Linked DNA regions of Lytechinus pictus. The protein of the gene in region 1 purifies or fractionates together with the protein of each later gene. This does not show direct contact. Links are inferred from orthologs where the notes say so. Each region holds a gene or a part of one and is shown in the gene's direction. Other genes may lie near its edges.

Region 1 (9,254 bases):
AAAAAGATACCAAATTAAAGCCACTTAAGTAAGTAGGTAAGGATTTTTTAGCCTACAGCAGCCATTTGCGGGGCGCCATCTTGGATTTTTCTGGTACCCTACACTCTAAATTACAGGGATTTAAAACAAGTCCACATGGACTGTAGTTAGGGACCAATCGAATTCCGGATTTAGTTTGAATCCTTAAGATTCATTTTTAAATCTCGAAAGATTTAAATTTAAATCATTTGAGATTTAAATTTAAGTCGTTAGGATTAAAACTAAATTCAGAAATCGATTGGTCCCTAGCTACAGTCCATCTGGACTTATTTTAAATCCCTGTAATTTAGAGTGTAGATTGCTAATATTCACTTTAACTTGTTTCAACAAATTCGTTTACCCACTGTACCATGGAATATGAAATCAAATAGGATTCTAGCGTATAAAATATCAGTATTGTGTTCTTGTATATAAAATAATGAATGATTTAGTTCCAAATTATTTAAAACCTTTAGTATGTAAACGGCCCGTGAAATACAGGACACGGTATTCTTTACGATGCCCCCTTCAGCTTCCCAAAGCTAGAATTGAACATAAAAGAAAATCTTTCGCATATGTCGGACCCAAATTATTTAATGCACTTCCTTCAAATTTACAAGTTTGTACCTCCTTGTTAGTTTTTAAAAAATTATGCAAAGCCTTTCATACGAATTGATAAAGAGCGAAATGATATTCCATTGATTTACAATGCTATGTATGTTTAAATTGTCACTTCCCACTCTATATTTTGGTGTTAATTGTTTCTGATGTTAGATATTTTGTATTTTGTATTTTTGATGTTGTTTGTTGTTGTTGTTCATAGTTATCTTGACATGTATTTTAAACTGCAGGGCGCCTTTGTAAAACAGTTTTAAGAACTGAACAGGCCTACCCTGCAGTATAAAATAAATAAAACAAAATAAATAAATAAATAAAAATCTATAGGGTGGATAATGAGTGACTTATATCCATTTTCAGTGAATGGCGGTTATCTTGGACGCCATCTTGAAAATAACCACTTTCCCATGTGCGGATTTTGGTAGATTTTTAGTATGTTTTTCCTGAGGTCAAATACTGCCAGAAACAGTTGAAAATCATTTGTTGCAATTTGTTCCGGGTCAAACTATATATTGATCCGTCTATATATTGATTTCTTCATCATTCACCGAGTCATTTAGCCATGTTTCTGTGAAAGCAATGACTGCAAGATTCTTTCTCTTAAACAGAATTCGAAGTTCTGAATTTTTTGGTAGAATAGATCTAACATTTAGATGTACAAAGTGAAGACCTTTTACAGCAAATATGTTTTCAAAATCTTGATAAAGTAAACTTGAATCCTTCGATTTTTGTTGTTGTAAATTTGGCTCTGGAATGTTTTCGGGTACCCGAATTTCTTTCTCACAGTTTACAATAGTATTATTGTAGTCGTCAAATAAAGATTGACAGAAAGATGGTAAAAACAGTTTGAACAAAACCATTCGACATCGGGGCTCAAATATAAATTTGAATATATTTCCAGGCGTATTTCTTGACAGTGAATATCTTACCATCTTTTACAAGTGGAACAAAGAAGGCCGCACTGATTTGATTACTGGTTTTTCGCAGTTTCCACATGGAAACTTAAATTGTGGGCCTGGGTTTGATTCAATATCCCCGGACAATAATAGGAGAAAGAAAACAATGATTTTGGTCACTTCCCTATTCATTAATTCTATGGAAGGGATCCATTTGTTTTGAAAATAATAAATGTACAATTTGGGATATATCATTCTTAAGTTTATTTTTTCATAACAAATCGTTTTGCAGGTAAAGTCGTGCATATAGAACACAGAACTCACCACCCAGGACCAAAATCCAGTTAAAACCAATTAGGGCAAAACCAATTGAAACCAGTTGGCCAACTGGTTTCAATAGGGAAATTGGAACAACTGGTTCCAATTGAAAACCAGTTGCCAATTGGTTCCAGTTAAAAACCAATTGAAAACCAGTTGCCAATTGGTTCCAGTTAAAACCAATTGGGCAACTGGAACCAGTTGGCAATTGTTGTCAATTGGTACGTTCCAGTTGTTCCAATTTCCCTATTAAAACCAATTGAATCCAATTGGAGGCAACTGGTTTCAATTGGTTCCAGTTGAAACCAATTGGAGGCAACTGGTTTCAACTGGAACCAGTTGAAACCAATTGGTTTCCAACTGGATCCAATTGGAACTTCCAGTTGGAACGAACTTAATTAGTTACAAATTAATTAGCATTTGCAGTAACTATTTATCATGCCAACACAGAAGCAGTGTTATATGTCTATTAATACCAATGTAAAGGGCATTGATAAAATACAGACTTCCATGTATATATATTTATATGGAAGATCTTCAAATATATGTACTTTTATTTGATGTAATTTGGTAACAGTTAGTGGTGTACTAATTATCCTTTAATCTGTTTTAATTATAATCTATAACATTTATGAACATGGTTTTCACTGCTAAGTATTCTAAATACTAATCTTTAAAAAGTGTGGTACTTGAAATTGTAAAGAATTAAATAGATACATTGTTAATGATGATTAATCTCATAAAACATTAATCTGTGCACACTGGCAAATAATATGCAAATTAACTGGTTTCAATTGGATCCAGTTGGGTAACTGGAAAATTTCCAATTGGAAACCAATTGGAAATAATTTCCAGTTACCCAACTGGTTCCAATTAGAATTCATTTCCAGTTACCCATCTTTCCAGTTAGAAGTCATCTCAGTTACCCAATTGGTACCAGTTAGGATTTCCAGTTACACAACTGAATGCATGGTTCAAGTTAGGATTTCCAGTTACCCAACTGGTTCCAGTTAGAAATCATTTCCAGTTGGAAGTCATTTCCAGTTACCCAACTGGTTTCAGTTAGGATTTCCAGTTGCCCAACTGGTTCCAGTTAGAAATCATTTCCAATTGGAAGTCATTTCCAGTTACCCAACTGGTTCCAGTTAGGATTTCTAGTTGCCCAACTGGTTCCAGTTGGGATTTCCAGTTACTCAACTGGTTCCAGTAAGAAATCATTTCCAATTGGAAGTCATTTCCAGTTACCCAACTGGTTCCAGTTAGGATTTCCAGTTGCCCAACTGGTTCCAGTTGGGATTTCCAGTTACTCAACTGGTTCCAGTTAGAAATCATTTCCAGTTGGAAGTCATTTCCAGTTACCCAACTGGTTCCAGTTATGATTTCCAGTTGCCCAACTGGTTCCAGTTAGAAATCATTTCCAATTGGAAGTCATTTCCAGTTACCCAACTGGTTCCAGTTAGGATTTCCAGTTGCCCAACTGGTTCCAGTTGGGATTTCCAGTTACTCAACTGGTTCCAGCAGTAAGAAATCATTTCCAATTGGAAGTCATTTCCATGCAGTTACCCAACTGGTTCCAGTTAGGATTTCCAGTTGCCCAACTGGTTCCAGTTGGGATTTCCAGTTACTCAACTGGTTCCAGTTAGAAATCATTCCCAATTGGAAGTCATTTCCAGTTACCCAACTGGTTCCAGTTAGGATTTCCAGTTGCCCAACTGGTTTCAATTGGTTTCAACTGGAAATTGTTAAATTCCAGTTAAAACCAATTGAAACCAGTTGAAACCAATTGAAACCAATTGAAACCAGTTGGAAATCCAACTGGTTTCAATTGGATTTTGGTCCTGGGCAGGTCAAGTGATCTGTTATATACATCAAAATTTCCAATTTCCATCTTTGCCATCATAGTATCATATTCATTCATCAATCAAATATATATGGAGATACATGTGTTAAACCATTAAGTAATGATCTCACTAACAGTAAATAGTCCTGCCACTCTCTTGTCGAAGTCCTCGATCTGGTTGTCTCACCATGCATGCCTTCTGACATCTCCGTGTATGTTGGTCGTAGGAGCAGCTACGTCAGCATAGGACCTTCCATCAAAGAAGTTTGGACGTCGTTATATATGCTTCTGGTTTGGTAAGACACGGCGGATGTAAGGTGGACCCCATCGCATCACGACCTAGGTGCTGCTCGCCGATGTTGTCATTGATGACGAAACCCCATGAGTTTCGCCTCGCAGTATCCCTTAGGTTGGAGTTGACGAAGTCGATCCTCCTCTCATTGCATGGTGCCGCGACTCCCATCGTCTGTGGATGATGCCAGATAGGATGACCTTCAGCCCCTTGCTAGCAGCAATTATATTTCCTATATACGTCCACGATCTTGTTGTGCAGACAATTGAGGCCATCCTTGGTGTAGTTTGTACCGACATGCACAATAACGGTACCGTCGGCACAGGGGTCGGCACGCTCGTTGGATAGACATGGTATGTCTTCGGACCTGGCACCGGGAACGGAACGATCGACATCTCACTTTCATTTTGCTTGCCAGGCGACGACCATCAAATGTTCTTCAACATGGAATCTCCAAACAGTAGCACGTCGGAAAGGGATAAGTGACATATAGGCCTTAATTTTTCAAATGTTATCAGGTTATATCAAAATCTACCACAAACTTTGATTTTTGTAATTAAAATGTCAAATATTTTGCTCGCTCGCTTCGCTCGCTCGCAACTTCTTATTAATTTTATGCCATATGCCGATCAAGCCCCCTCAAATTTTTTGGCTCATTACGCCACTAACACAACCCATTCAAAGAAACAAACAAAAATCAACTTTGAGCGGCCGATCGGGGAAAATATGGCTGAAAAAAATGTCGGCCCCCCCCCCCTATTGGCGGGAGCTGGATCCGCCCCTGTTTTCTGTATCTGTCTTCTTTTCATTTCTTTTTTTTCTTCTTTTTTCTTTTCATTTTTTCCTTTTCTTTTTTTCTTTTTCTTTTCTTTTGTTGTTCTTTTTTTTTCTTGTTAACGATCGTCTCTCTTTTTATTCTGTTTGTTTTTTCTTTCTTTCTTTTCTCTTCATTTGCGTATTAGCCTTTTCCAAACGCTTGTGTGTTGCTGCCCTCTAGCTGGCGCGGCGCCGGCGGCCGGCGATCGATTGGATATGATTTACCGTGTACATATGTACGCGGTATATAGGTATAATATACCAATGTGATGAGGATCAGGGCCGGCGCATAGATAGGACAGGGGAAACTAACTTTGGAGTGTTAAACCATTAATCTAACAAGATGACCTACATAAATTCATGGGAGGAGTTCGTAAAAGCTGCGGAGAGATTATATCTTTCAGATCCAAGCAAGGTAATTTGAAAAGGCCCAGCATAACTTTCCCCAAACGCAAAAACTTAGGCTGGTTATCACCGATACCATTTTGACAGCTGGCATGTGATGTGGCATACGGTACCGGTAGTCGGTACTCAGAGAGAGCTTCGCCGACGTGTCGGCGCCGGAGCTCCTGTAAGTCGGTACCGGTATCTTGGCATGGGCTGGAGTAGACCAAAAGCTTCGGTCTCTGTTATGTTGGTTCAGCTGAACTCCGTTGGCGGCGCTAGTGTAGTTTCGCACCTCCCCGTTTAATGGTTTTCAAACATGTACAATCTCACCCTAAATAATTCACAACCTAAATACTTGCATCTGAGCCTCCAAAGCAAAGTCCAGTAGACTAGAAGTTGAATATTTGCCGTTTTGACACTTTTTTAAACAAAGTTTTACACCTATTTCGGAATCACTCGGTCGCTTGAAGCTCAGCGCTGCACAGAAGCAGTCGGTACGCGTACAGTACCGGTACGTACCACCTAGTGAAGTGTGTGTATTTGAGTTTTGTCAGACGTGTATCAATCAGATATGATTATTTACGTCTGGGACCGACCTTTAACGTCACCATCCGAAAGACGTGACCAGGGCTCGAACCCCGAACCTCTGCATCAATTTGTAACTTCCCCACACAGCTTGGATTATAGGCGCACGCCACAACGCCCAGTTTAAGAAGTGCAAGAAGAGCGAGTTTTTCTATGGTATCTTCAAAAAGATTTTTTTCCCCTCTTTCAGCTTGCACCAAGTATTACGGTAGTGGTTGTGCAGAGTGGTTGATGTTTGTTGTGTGAAGGTGTGTGTGGGGTGTGCATGTGTGTGCTTGTTTGAATGAAATAAGAAATGTGAAAAACCACTACCGTAATACTAGGTGCAAGCTGAAAGAGGGGAAAAAATCTTTTTGAAGATACCATAGAAAAACTCGCTCTTTTTGCACTTCACTAGGTGGTACGTACTGTACGCGTACCAACTGCTTATGTGCAGCGCTGAGCTTGATCAAGCGACCGAGTGATTCTGAAATAGGTGTAACGTTAAAACTTTGTAAAAAAGTGTCAAAACGGCAAATATTCAACTTCTACTGGACTTTGGAGGCCCAGATGCAAGTATTTTAGGTTGTGAATTATTTAGGATGAGATTGTACATGTTTGAAAACCATTAAACGGGGAGGTGCGAAACTACACTTTCACTCGCCAAATACAGAGACCGAAGTTCTAGCGCGATCTGTACAGGGGACTCAATGGCCATATGTTTATGTAGGCCCTATATTTATTATATATAGGCCTACCCGGTATTATAACTAAGTTCGGATAAAACAGGGAGGTGAAGTTGCGCGACAGCCGAGGTAAGTCACTGTTTTTGTTCCTTTTAACTTGATTTTCCCCGTTATTTGGCAATTAATGCCAAGAGGGAATATTAATTTGCATTTCGGACGCGTTAATTTTCAAAAGTTTGATTCATTAAAGACAAAAATTGAAGAGCCCCGACGGGGGGATTTTGCATTGTAAGTCCCCTAATGGTAGCTGCACGATAGCGAGCCGTCTGTGTACGAGGAGAAATAAAAAAAATTAAAAAATAAAAAAAAATCCTCGAAACAGACGGCTGCCAGCTGTCTAGGGCTGGAGTACCTCGAGCGATGATTCGTATAACTATACTAGTATAGTATAGGTTCCGCTTAGGCCCCCATCTCACTAGGAAGGCGATCTGTGTAAATCCCGCAAAGCGTAGCAGATTCTTCCTCGAATTCTATTTTAAGCCTGCGAGGCGATTGCAGTGCATGTGCAACTTCTCTGCGACCGACCTGCGCTGAAGGCGATGGTAATACGCTGATAGTACGACGATGCCACTCTCTTGCCACGATTCAAGGCAGATGTGATGCGCTGCTTCTGCGATCAAAGCGACCGTACAACGAGGCTCATACGCCTATTAGGACCTCAGTACGGTGGTGCTACGAATGGAGCGATTGTGTTTACGTTCATGATGGGCTCTTGAAACGATTTTAAGCAATCGGCATATTAATCGCGGCACATGAGACATTCTTCAGTCGATTGCCGACCAAGAAGGATGTCCAGAATTTGGTTGGACTTATACATCTTAGCATTCAACAACAACATCAGTTCGAAGTTGAATACGAGGACAGGAGAAGGAGGAGGCCAAAGAGATACTGGGTCCGATCCTGGCTGTCACTTATTAAAATTTCATTCAAAAGATGTCGATGAGCCTGAGGGATGCATCCAGAATTTCATAAAAGAGCATAAAAATCTTTGATATTCTGTTTATTTTTTACCACAAAAGTTTGTCACTCAAAATTGTTTGGTAAATTCCTTTCAAATTTGCTGACAAGTAGTCTACTGATGTGAGAGCACTCATAAAAAAAGGGAGGGGGGCACAATGCCAGAATCTCCCTAAAGAGTGCCTTTCCCAATCAATACATTAGTGATCGAATCATTAACAAAATTTGATATTGTCTACTGTCACTGTGGTTAGAATTCAATCTATTTTTAGAACAGTCAATTTATATATTTTTGCAGAGGTAACCCATTTCGTCATCAAGACATGTGAGCGTCTTTTTTCTCTTTCCAGCTGGCTCAGCAGTAAGATTTTCATCCTCCTGTACCCCCTCCTCCTCTTCCTCTACCACCACCATAACCTCTTGTTCTTCCTCTTGGACCGCCGGCATAACAGGGGTAGCTTGGGCAGCTTTCCCTTTTTTTTGTCCTTTTTCTGGGAGGTATGTTTAAAAACGTTGTGGTGTCGCCTCATAATCTGTTGCAAATGTGATAATCCGCCACCATTGGCACGGCGTTTTATAGCAGCGCGGACGGCCGTTGCGCAATCGCTGCCCAGTCATCAGCGGCGCAGCAAAAGCGCAACGCAAATGCCTGCAGCGGGCTGAGAACGTGTGCCACATGCCACCCAAAGAAGAAAGCGTCGCGGTTGAAACGGTGTGAAGCGTGTCGAGCGCAAGGCAGTCGCCTTGTAAACGGAAGCAGCGTAGCAGTATTGTCTTGGGAACGGGCCTGAAAACACGGGCGATAGGTGCCGCTTTTAATGCGTTTTTACTTAGCTTTATGTGTTGGAGCTCCGTTACAGCTACGAATATGTCGTTTGTAATACGCTCATGACTCGATTGTGGAGCGCTTTAGCACCTCCGCGCTCTTGCTACTTAAGTTTTGAACATGTTCAAAATTTTGTGGCGACCAGGAAGATGGTGGCGATCCTTGCCGCTTCAGAAAAGATCAAGGTACGACGGAGAAGATTGAAAAGATCAAGCCACGATCAAGCTACGTTATACCACGCTTTGTCGATTTTTGATGATCGCAGCGGATTCGCCATCTAGTGAGATGGGGGTATTAGACCAAAAGCTTTGGTCTCTGTTATGTTGGTTGTTCCGCTGAACTCCGTTGGCTCCACTCACCAAATACAGAGACCAAAGTTCTAGCTCGATCTGTACAGGGATATGTTTATGACTTGTATTAAGTTCAGATAAACATTTAAACAGGGAAGTGAAGTTGCGTGACAGCCTAAGCATAAGGTAAGCCACTGTTTTTCCCCTTTTAAGTTTTTTTTACCCCTCTTTGGCCTGAAATGCACCAAAACGGGGGAAAAAAAACTTAAAAGGGGAAAAACAAACTGGACCCTCAAAAAAAGGAAAAGTTCTGTCTCGTTCGTTCTCCTGTCAAAATTGAAAACAAAATGGCTGATCGATACCAAAACAAACGCGACATAGACGTCTAAATTTTCCTTTTTTTGAGGGTCCAGTTTGTGCCTCGATGTCAGGATTAGTTTCTCATGATAGACCATCCATATAATCGAGGTAAGTGCATTTATTATTTTTTCCCCTTTTATTTGGAATGCTATTGTGACCACATTCTACCCCATTTTGGAGAGTATATGTTCATGATGTTTGACTAGTATTACACGGACGAGTCCTGGGTTCAGGCCGTAGCCCAGGGTGATCTACTTTAACCCATCAACTGCAACAAGCCGTCTAGATCTACTTTAACCCAGGGAGCTCCGCCCCGCCCCCATTGG
Region 2 (9,197 bases), about 23 Mb from region 1:
GCTTTGTTCTTTGGGGGAGAGCATGTAGTATTCAGTGTACGAATTTTGTGTCAAGGTCTTTTTAATTATTCGCTTTGTTCGGTATTATAGCTTATATCCTTTGAATGATAATTTCTTTATACCATAGATCTACTGACACCGTCTGCCATATTGTTTATTTGGCGTGTTTGTTAGCACTGCAAACAGACAGTACACGTAATATCCCGTAAGTAGATCACGAACTTCACTCAACGTCACGGGTGGTGATTTGAAGGGGGGGGGTGGACAGGAACTAAAGGAGATGCCAACTGAAAAATATAGAGGTATTATAAACGACCCGGTCGTCAATTTTTAATAGTCTTTTATTCTTTTTCTCTCTTCCTCCCCCTCTTTAGATAAGTTGAGAAAAATCATCCAAGTCGAGACAACGAAGTGGGTCGCCCCCCCCCCCCGGCCAATGGCACCACCTATGTGATTAGCGTACATGTATTTACATCGGTAAAAAAACATTTTCTGCAATCGGGCAAAATGAGCATTATTCACACATTTTATTCACATTTACTCTATAGAATGCTTGCCCAGTGGGCCTATATCTTTGTTGTGTGGTTGCATAATTATAATCGCTTACAATTTATTTTTTGCACTATAAGCCTACACATTTGACACATTAAACTTGAATTAAAATTTGTGATAGACAAGAAGGACTCAAATGAGTGTAGGGCCATGGATGGTAGGACTGACAGTATACCCATAATCACTAAAATGCAAGAGTGTTTAAAAATTAGGGCCTATTAGCAAAAGATAGAGACATTTTAGAACTGAGAATATTGCAGTCAGCCTCCGGACAATGCTGGACTCGGGGGAAGATACTCAGATAAATATATTGTGTTCACGATTGAATGACCCAGAAACATAGCAAGATTTTAAGGTGAACCAAATAAAACGTCAATGCCTCAAAAGAAGTCATTCACTCATATCCGTATTTATCGAAAGGATGGAAAAGGACCTCTCGATTTTTGCGTCTGTGAAGACATCATACGCTAGATATTAGCATCCGCCACGTTTCATTTTACTTGGCGTATAATGAGCAAAGAAAAAAAACGAGGGGGTCAGACATAACGTACGGTGCAAAGTTTCTAAAAATAAAAATGCTGACCTTTTTAATACGAAAATCTATTTTTTTTAGTGATACATTTTGTCATGATATCCAGAAAATTATTATGTCCTATTCCACCCTTTGTCTTCTCCTTTTCTTTGTTTGCCCCCTTTTTTCTTGGTCATTTGGGGGGCCATGGCCCCAAGTCCCCCCCCCCATCAGATAAAGATTGTTAAACTCTCGCATGAACTTAATTTGGATTAGATAAAGGGCCTCTTCACACGTGAATCTTGAATCATCATTGTAATGATGATTGCTATTATCGTGACTGTGATTAGCGTTTATGATTCACATGTGTCATTAGCCTCATTCAAATTACGATTACGATATCGTGTGAAAGGGCTGGATGTTTGAAGGTTGCATGGTGGTATGAACACGGGGGAATATCACGCCAACAATGCGACATGATTCATGAGGTTCCTTTATAATTAAACACGCTCTTACACGAAATTATTTTGCCGTGTCCTGTAGCATTATGATGGTATGACTGCAATCAGGGGCGGATCCAGCTTTCGCCAATAGGGGGGGCCGAAAAAAATTTTCATCAACATTTTTCTCGATTGGCCGCTATAATCTGTTTTTTTGGGGGGGGGGGTTCAGGGGGTAGTCCTAACTAGAGACTGAAGTTTTAAGTATATGTTAGTTTTTATTGTTATAAACAAGATAAGGTATCTCATGTGGTCTTAATATATAATGCGAGCGCGAAGCGCGAGCTCAAATTCTTTGATATTTTATGTCCTTAGACCTAAAGATTCTGAGGAGATTTTATAATCATGAAAAAGATAAGTATCCAACTAAACAATGCGAGCGCGAACCGAAATTTTATCATAGTAACGTGAAAAGGGACTCAATTAGGACTGTTTTTAGTGATTAATGAAGAGGATACAAGTATCACCAATTAAATAATGAGAGTGCGAAGCGCGAGCTCAAAATTTTTGATATTCCGACCTGAAAACTGGACAGTCTAAGCGCGTTTTTTTTATTTAAATACAGAAAAAGCTGTGTGTCCCAAACAATTAAATGCGAGCGCGAAGCACAAGCTCAATTTTTTTATATACTGACATGATAAAGGAGCATTTTGACAAATTTTTGTAAGAATTTCCAAAGAGGATAGGTAACTCACAAATCAAACAATGCGAGCGCGCAGCGCGAGCTGAAAATTTTGATATAAACAATTTGTGTAAAACAAACAAAATAATTAAAGCTTGATGTGCGAGCTAAAATATTGTGTGCAAATTGATTTCAGATCTGGATATATAAGTGTCATTTAATCCTCTTGAATGGGATTCATTGGCACAGGCAATGCGAGCGCGAAGCGCGAGCGAAATTTTTTATATCAAGTTCTTTTTCCAATTCTTCCCCTCACCCTTTTCTTGTTTCCTTTCGGGGTCGGGCCGGCCGTTACGAGGTTGTAAATTACACATCCTGGATATGATACCTCTTTCCTACTTTTCTTTAGTGTTTTTCCTATAGTACACTTTTTCTGCAGGTTGTCAAAAAATAGGGGGGCCGGGGCCGGCTCGGCCCCCTCCTGGATCCGCGCCTGGCAATATTGTGTGCCTATTATTCAAGGCATTATGTAAATGACAAAACGCTTTTTCGACTGCTTCTTTTGAAATAATACCAAGAGCGATGGACATTATCAGACTTTATTGTGTACATTGAATCGATTTTCTGCATCGCAAAGGACACATTCCATTTTATGAGCAATGATAATAATTCATAATTGGGATTCGAACGGTAGCCAAAAGAATCTATTTTGTAGTAATATTCAATAATGTCTCATTCAATTGTTGAAAGAATGACGGCTTTCAAATGGGATTACTTTTCCGCAAGTTTACAATGTCTGATATTCACCATGTTCACTGGATCATGAACTGGATGTCATAAATATATCTTTACTCAGCAAACACTTGGAAATGATATGGATAATTTTCTGGATAACCACCAACAGTACACTCATTTGGTAGATTATATCTTATAATTTGGGTGGGGATGGGGAGGGGAGGCACCTAGAATTTTGAATTTTCTACAGCAGTCCATGGGAGAGGGTCGTCCCGGTCTCACGCCCAGCTGCCCCCCCCCCCCCGAAAACAAAACAAAACAAAAAACAACGAAATCTCCGAGCATAATAGGGACGACGGAATGTATGCTATCGGTCAAAAGATGGGGTAATCAGAGAAACTCCGGAGTAAAGGAAGTGGTTTATTTAGCAGAAGTATCGTATTCGTCTTCCCGTCCCCAACAAGAAATGATTTGAATAAAATAAGACAAATTAAACTAATGTAAGTTTTGTTAATATTTTGCTTAAGTTCACAAAACATGTATGCACAACATAGTGATATGCAAATGACTACAATTTATTTGTATTTTATAGGTGTTTCAATGTCTCTTCTTGCAGATTTGACAATAAGACAACTCTTATTAAATCATTAATAGGTTAAAATAAATTCAATTTCCACATGTTCAGAGATTAAATTAAATTTTGTTTCACATTGTAATTAGGAAAAAATCAAATATGTCGATATTTCTTTATTTCTTATAATAAATACAAAATAATATAGTTAGTTAGTGATATCATCAGTTTCTTATTTGTATACCGACCAACATGTGCATTTAACTCATTTCTGAAATTAAGCAACAGAAAAAATGTACTTTACATCCGATTTTAATGATGATTTTTTAAAAATCTTTCTATATAATCAACTTTTTTGTGGTGGATAACCCTTCAAAATTATTGGTGGTTTTAAAACCATTATAATTATTCAGCGTACCAATTATTAATCATATACATTCATTATTTTTAGCGGGATTCGGAATCGAAATAGCAAGATTTTTAAGATGATGTTGTCTAAGTGGAGATTCCCGCCTTCAAGAAGACGTCATTCGCTTAACTTTTCATCAAAAATTTGAATTTTCAATAAGAATACATATTGTTTCCCCCATGGTGGCAATGGATTGCATTATATGACGTTTCTGATGTTGATGACGATGACAAGATGGTGTCCTACGAGACATTTACTCAAAACAATATCACGAACTTTGGTCATTCTATTTTAAGGAAAATTAAATTCCAGTAAGTCATACAACTTAAAAGAAATTGATGACAGAACTGCATCCCAAAATAATCTTTTGAATTATCTTAACTAAAATTTTGTCAAAATACACACAATTAAACATATTTTTTTTACTCACAGGGCACAGAACTACTGTCTGAGTGCTACATTCTACATGTATGTCCAAGTATTAGCAAGGGAGATCTTGTCGCGGTCTTGTCGCCACTTGTAATGAAAATATTGATTTCGCACATGCAAATTTTCTACTAGAATCTGCTAAAATGCAACAGGAATGATCATGGAAAATTCACATAATACATCAATAGCACAGGACTAATATTCAACTTCTAAGGCCGCATTCATATACGGTACTGAGTTAGTTGATGAGCTTCTTTTTCTTTTGAATAAAAATAAGGAATTGGACTTAGAGACTCGGGTAGACAAATTTGGAAAATATGGGGGTGATAATTTTTGCTGTCAGTGAACATTATGGAAAACAAGACTGTCACTTTCGACACATTGTGATTTCTGCATAAAGTGAGGTTCTGAAAAAAAGTATTTGATCCAAGCCACCTTATCTATCCGTCTGGCGGGCTTGAGTAAACAATGCAGTAATTTTTCAAAATAAATCATATTTAATCATATTTAATGATTAAATATGAACCAACCCTTCCAACTAGTTGATGAGCGACTAGACTTGTTTTGGTATAGCGCCACTTACGATCACATTGATTGTGAATAACACGTATCTGATGAATTCTCGGTTCCAAGTCGGAAGAAAAAGGTAATAGAATTGTTATTGAATATGTGCAAATATCCTACTTAAATAATACCAATTCGTCCTTGTTTCGTAAAAGAAACATTTTCAATATTTCTATGTTGTTTTCAAATGAATTGCGAGAAGATGGACCTTCTAAATGTACCACAGCTGTGTGAACATTTTAAAAGAAGTGTTCTTACCGCACGGAAATCAATGCATGGGACCTGAGCCAGATGAAAAGTATGCCCTTAAAACCTTATGATAGTGTGACCTTAATTCGCGCGTTACCTAATTTTGCGCACGGTCGAATATCTCAATATCTAATTAATATGTTGAAAAACTGATATCGCCAACAGAAAGAGCGACTGAAAATGACCTATTGAGATAATTTTCTTGAAGGTAAGGTCTCTATTATTAAGGAAAATATTGGCAAAACATCGGCAAATTTGATTTGGTTACTTGTTTTGCGCCCGCTCCGAGAAAATCCGACCTTCTCGACAAGCATCAAGAAATCGCCAGTTTGCAAGCAGAGGTCTCCAAATAAGTAAGTAAAATGGATACCAGCCGATTTTATGGCATTTTAACCTCCAGTCCATGTGATATGATTATCATACCTTTATCTGCTTGATTTCGTTTCTAAAGCCTTGAAAACCATCGTGCGCAAATTAAGGACCTTAATTTGCGCACGATGGTTTTAAATAAGGTCACACTTTTTTATGTCACTTTCAGCCGAGCGTGCACTAGTCGATCACCATGGAATTTTGAGATCGCTATACCAGCGAAACCCTCGACCTACTTTATAATTCCGTCAAGCGAATTTGACTTTAGGATCTTGCCTTCCGTTTGGCATTTATGATTTTGATTAATTTTGTGTGAGCTGTGAGAAATTTTTGATTGAAAATCAACTTCATGATAATTTTTAAAATGTGTGCAAATAATGGTCACCCCATCATAACAGATCTAATGTGAATTACAGCTGTGCCACCCAAGGGTTCATTACATGCCGCCGCGCACAGGAAAATCAAGCCATTGAAGTCGTGTGTTGTGGACCCAAGAAGTGAGATCCCAGCACGAGCGACCCACTAGTTAGAAATCCACTGCCAAACGCGGTTCGTGGTGCGAGGTTAGTATACTAATACTAACCTCGCAATACGTGTGAGTGCAGCTGTGCATGCTTTTATGTTGGGTGTGTGATGCCTTGTTCTAAAACTGAGTTACAGTTAGTATCTGGTGCTATGAAGGTTGTTCTCATAATCGATTATGAAATTGGATCATAATCAACGTTCCAAAGGCGCTCGATCACACAAAACAAACAAACTCACCCACCCACACACACACATGCATATATATATATATATATATATATATATGACTCATGAGAAACAGACACATATCTTATCAACAAATTAATGCAAGCGAAGCACGAGCTGAAACTTTATACTATACTGACCTGAAAACAGGAAAGAGGTACCTGTTTAGGACTGTTTGTAGTAACTCATGAGGAGGATACATATCTCACTACACAGATATTGCGAGTGCGAGCTGAAATTTCTTTATACTCTGACCTGAAAGCTTGACATTCTAAGCATTTTTGGTACCAATGATTAAGATGGGTATCTAAAAGAATAAATGCGAGCGCAAAGCGCGAGCTGAAAATTTTGTTATTTCGATCTGGAAAAAATTGACAGTTTAATGGACGTTTTTAATAAAGAACAAGATATATATCCAACAAAAGATTATTGCAAATCGAAGCGGGAGTTCTTTTGAGGTTTAGAACTGAAAACTGGACATTCTGTTCACCTATTTAATCATGAAAAGTATGGGTTTTTGCTACAGAAATGATGCGAGCGCAAAGCGTGAGCTGAAAAATTTTATATTCGAATCTGAAAAGCGGACATTTTGAGCACGATTTTAAATAAAATATGAGTTGTGTATCTTAATATCGCTTGCTGATTTCTGAGTAACATTACAATCTTATTTTATTTTTTGCACATGCGGAATTATTGGGGGGCAAAACGATATGTTTGCCCCCCCCCCAATATTTTCATTGGTGGGGCGATCGCCCCCCCTGCCCCCCCCCCCCAGGATTGACGCCTCTGTATACAGCGGAGGTACAAAGTCTTAAGAACACTGTCATAAAAAAATCTGGCCAGTGTTTTTCCAGTTCTGGAATTGATAACAATAGTCTAAAATTGAATGTAGTAATCGATTGTCATTATATTGGTTTCATGTATTGTTTAATAAATTTCATTTTTTGTTTTAAAACAGTAATACATTCCAATCTAAAAATGCTTTCACCCCCTTTTGTTTAAATAGATATTTTTGTAACCAGCTTATTCAGTGCGTAGGGAACTGGAGAAGACGGTCATATTGCTTGGAGGTCAAGACATTTATTTTTCTCACTGTGGAGATATTTACACTCCTTCAAGATGGTTTTAGCCGATCTTGGAAGGAAAATCACCTCAGCTTTAAAATCATTGAGTAATGCAACTATCATTGATGAAGATGTAAGTATAGGAAATTTACTATGAATTACATGCATTGCAGGAGATGCTAAGATGAACTAAAATATAATAATGTACAAAACACCTTGTGTGAAGCATTCTTTAGAGTGTTTAGCCTTTATTTTCATAAAATAGTAGATAGTGCTTTAGTTCTTGAATATGCACTTTAATGTCGTTGTTGTTGTTCATATTAGAAAAAAACATAGTGTGATGAATAGAATTGAACTTTGAACCCATGTTATGAAAAAGATGATAATTTTGACTATTTAAAGTACATTATGAAAATGTTTCCTTTCACATAATGAAGATTTTTCTTATCCAGAATCAATACACTTTATCATTCTTTTTTAGACTATGTAACACAAATTAAAATGAATATACAGGGATACTTCTGAATCCCCAATTTTTTAAAAACTCATATTTTGGCTTACTTTTTGTAGCCTATCATATGGCCGTAGTTCATTTTTTATTTTGCAACATTCATGTATACTCGGATCTTTAGTCGTACCTTCAATCATATGTAGAAGCATTTGCATTACTGTGGCTTGACATTTTTATGTATTTTATCACTGTTCTTTATCCATCTAGGTACTTAACTCTATGCTCAATGAAGTGTGCAGGGCTCTTCTTGAGGCAGATGTCAATATCAGACTTGTCAAAGCTCTCAAAGAAAATGTCAAATCTGTCATTGATTTTGATGAAATGGCAGCTGGTCTCAACAAACGTAAGATGATCCAGACTGCAGTCTTCAAGGAACTTGTAAAGGTAGTGTACAGAGCAATATGCCATTTTGCTAATATGATAATTGCTTCGGGTTTATGTTATCAATGTTTAATCTAAATGTTAAAGCCCAAAATTCTGTTTTATATCTGATGATTATTTATGAAGTTTGAATTCATGTTCAAGTATAATGGAAAAGTATATTTTAAATCATACCAATCAAAACAAATGTTCTAGTAAAATTGTAGTATACATTCAAGATTTTGTTACTTACAATTGTTAATGGTTACGCTCTTCATTATTTTAATGATCTTATTTCGGAATATGAATCCTCTAGAAATCTAAGATCTTCGGGAGTGGGTTGTTGACAACTCTCAGAGTCAAATGCTCATTTGGTGAAAAAGCTTTTGCTAATAGTGCTCCCACTTTGTGGAATGCACTCTCTTCGACAATATGCAATGACAAGTCTATAGAGTCATTCAAAGCCAAATTTAAGACATATCTATTCTCATCATATTTCAAATAACACCCCCCCCCCTTCTGTGTAATAATTCCCTCTGCGCCTCTGAATAGGAAACTAGATAGAAGGCGCACTCTAAATGCTCTATATTATTATTGTTATTAATATTATTATAATTATTTATTATTGTTATTATGATTATTACATCTACTCGAACATACATTCTTATCTCATATCATTCTCACCATAAGAGCTTTAAGGCATATTGTATGTTCATATAATGTAGTAATGACCAGGAATTACCAGACATATAAATGGGGCTTAATATAAGACGGGCTTTTAGGGTTCATTGTTGAATCAATCGTTTCTATAAATTCAAAGAATTCGATTTTTTTTTAAAAACAATATACAAACATGGCATACATGTACATGCAAATTGCAATTGATTTCCATTAAGTTGGACAATAAAACAGTAAATATATTAGAGTTTTTATATTTACGATTTCTGGAAATCAAATTGATAATGACCAGGAATTACCAGACATATAAATGGGGCTTAATA

What was found.
Region 2: the proteins of signal recognition particle 9 kDa protein-like (region 1) and signal recognition particle subunit SRP54 purify together in Homo sapiens (co-immunoprecipitation; 4 studies listed by BioGRID and IntAct, counting the BioPlex papers as one, with this or other methods). This does not show direct contact. The link is inferred for Lytechinus pictus from reciprocal best matches to the Homo sapiens genes SRP9 and SRP54.

The regions. Positions count from the first base shown.
Region 1 is NC_087251.1:596,085-605,338, reverse strand, and holds the start of signal recognition particle 9 kDa protein-like, read left to right. Parts: upstream 1-5,048; 5' UTR 5,049-5,141; coding exon 5,142-5,213; intron 5,214-9,254. UniProt on the Homo sapiens protein: Component of the signal recognition particle (SRP) complex, a ribonucleoprotein complex that mediates the cotranslational targeting of secretory and membrane proteins to the endoplasmic reticulum (ER).
Region 2 is NC_087251.1:23,423,331-23,432,527, reverse strand, and holds the start of signal recognition particle subunit SRP54, read left to right. Parts: upstream 1-4,901; 5' UTR 4,902-4,975; intron 4,976-7,267; 5' UTR 7,268-7,380; coding exon 7,381-7,458; intron 7,459-8,043; coding exon 8,044-8,220; intron 8,221-9,197. UniProt on the Homo sapiens protein: Component of the signal recognition particle (SRP) complex, a ribonucleoprotein complex that mediates the cotranslational targeting of secretory and membrane proteins to the endoplasmic reticulum (ER).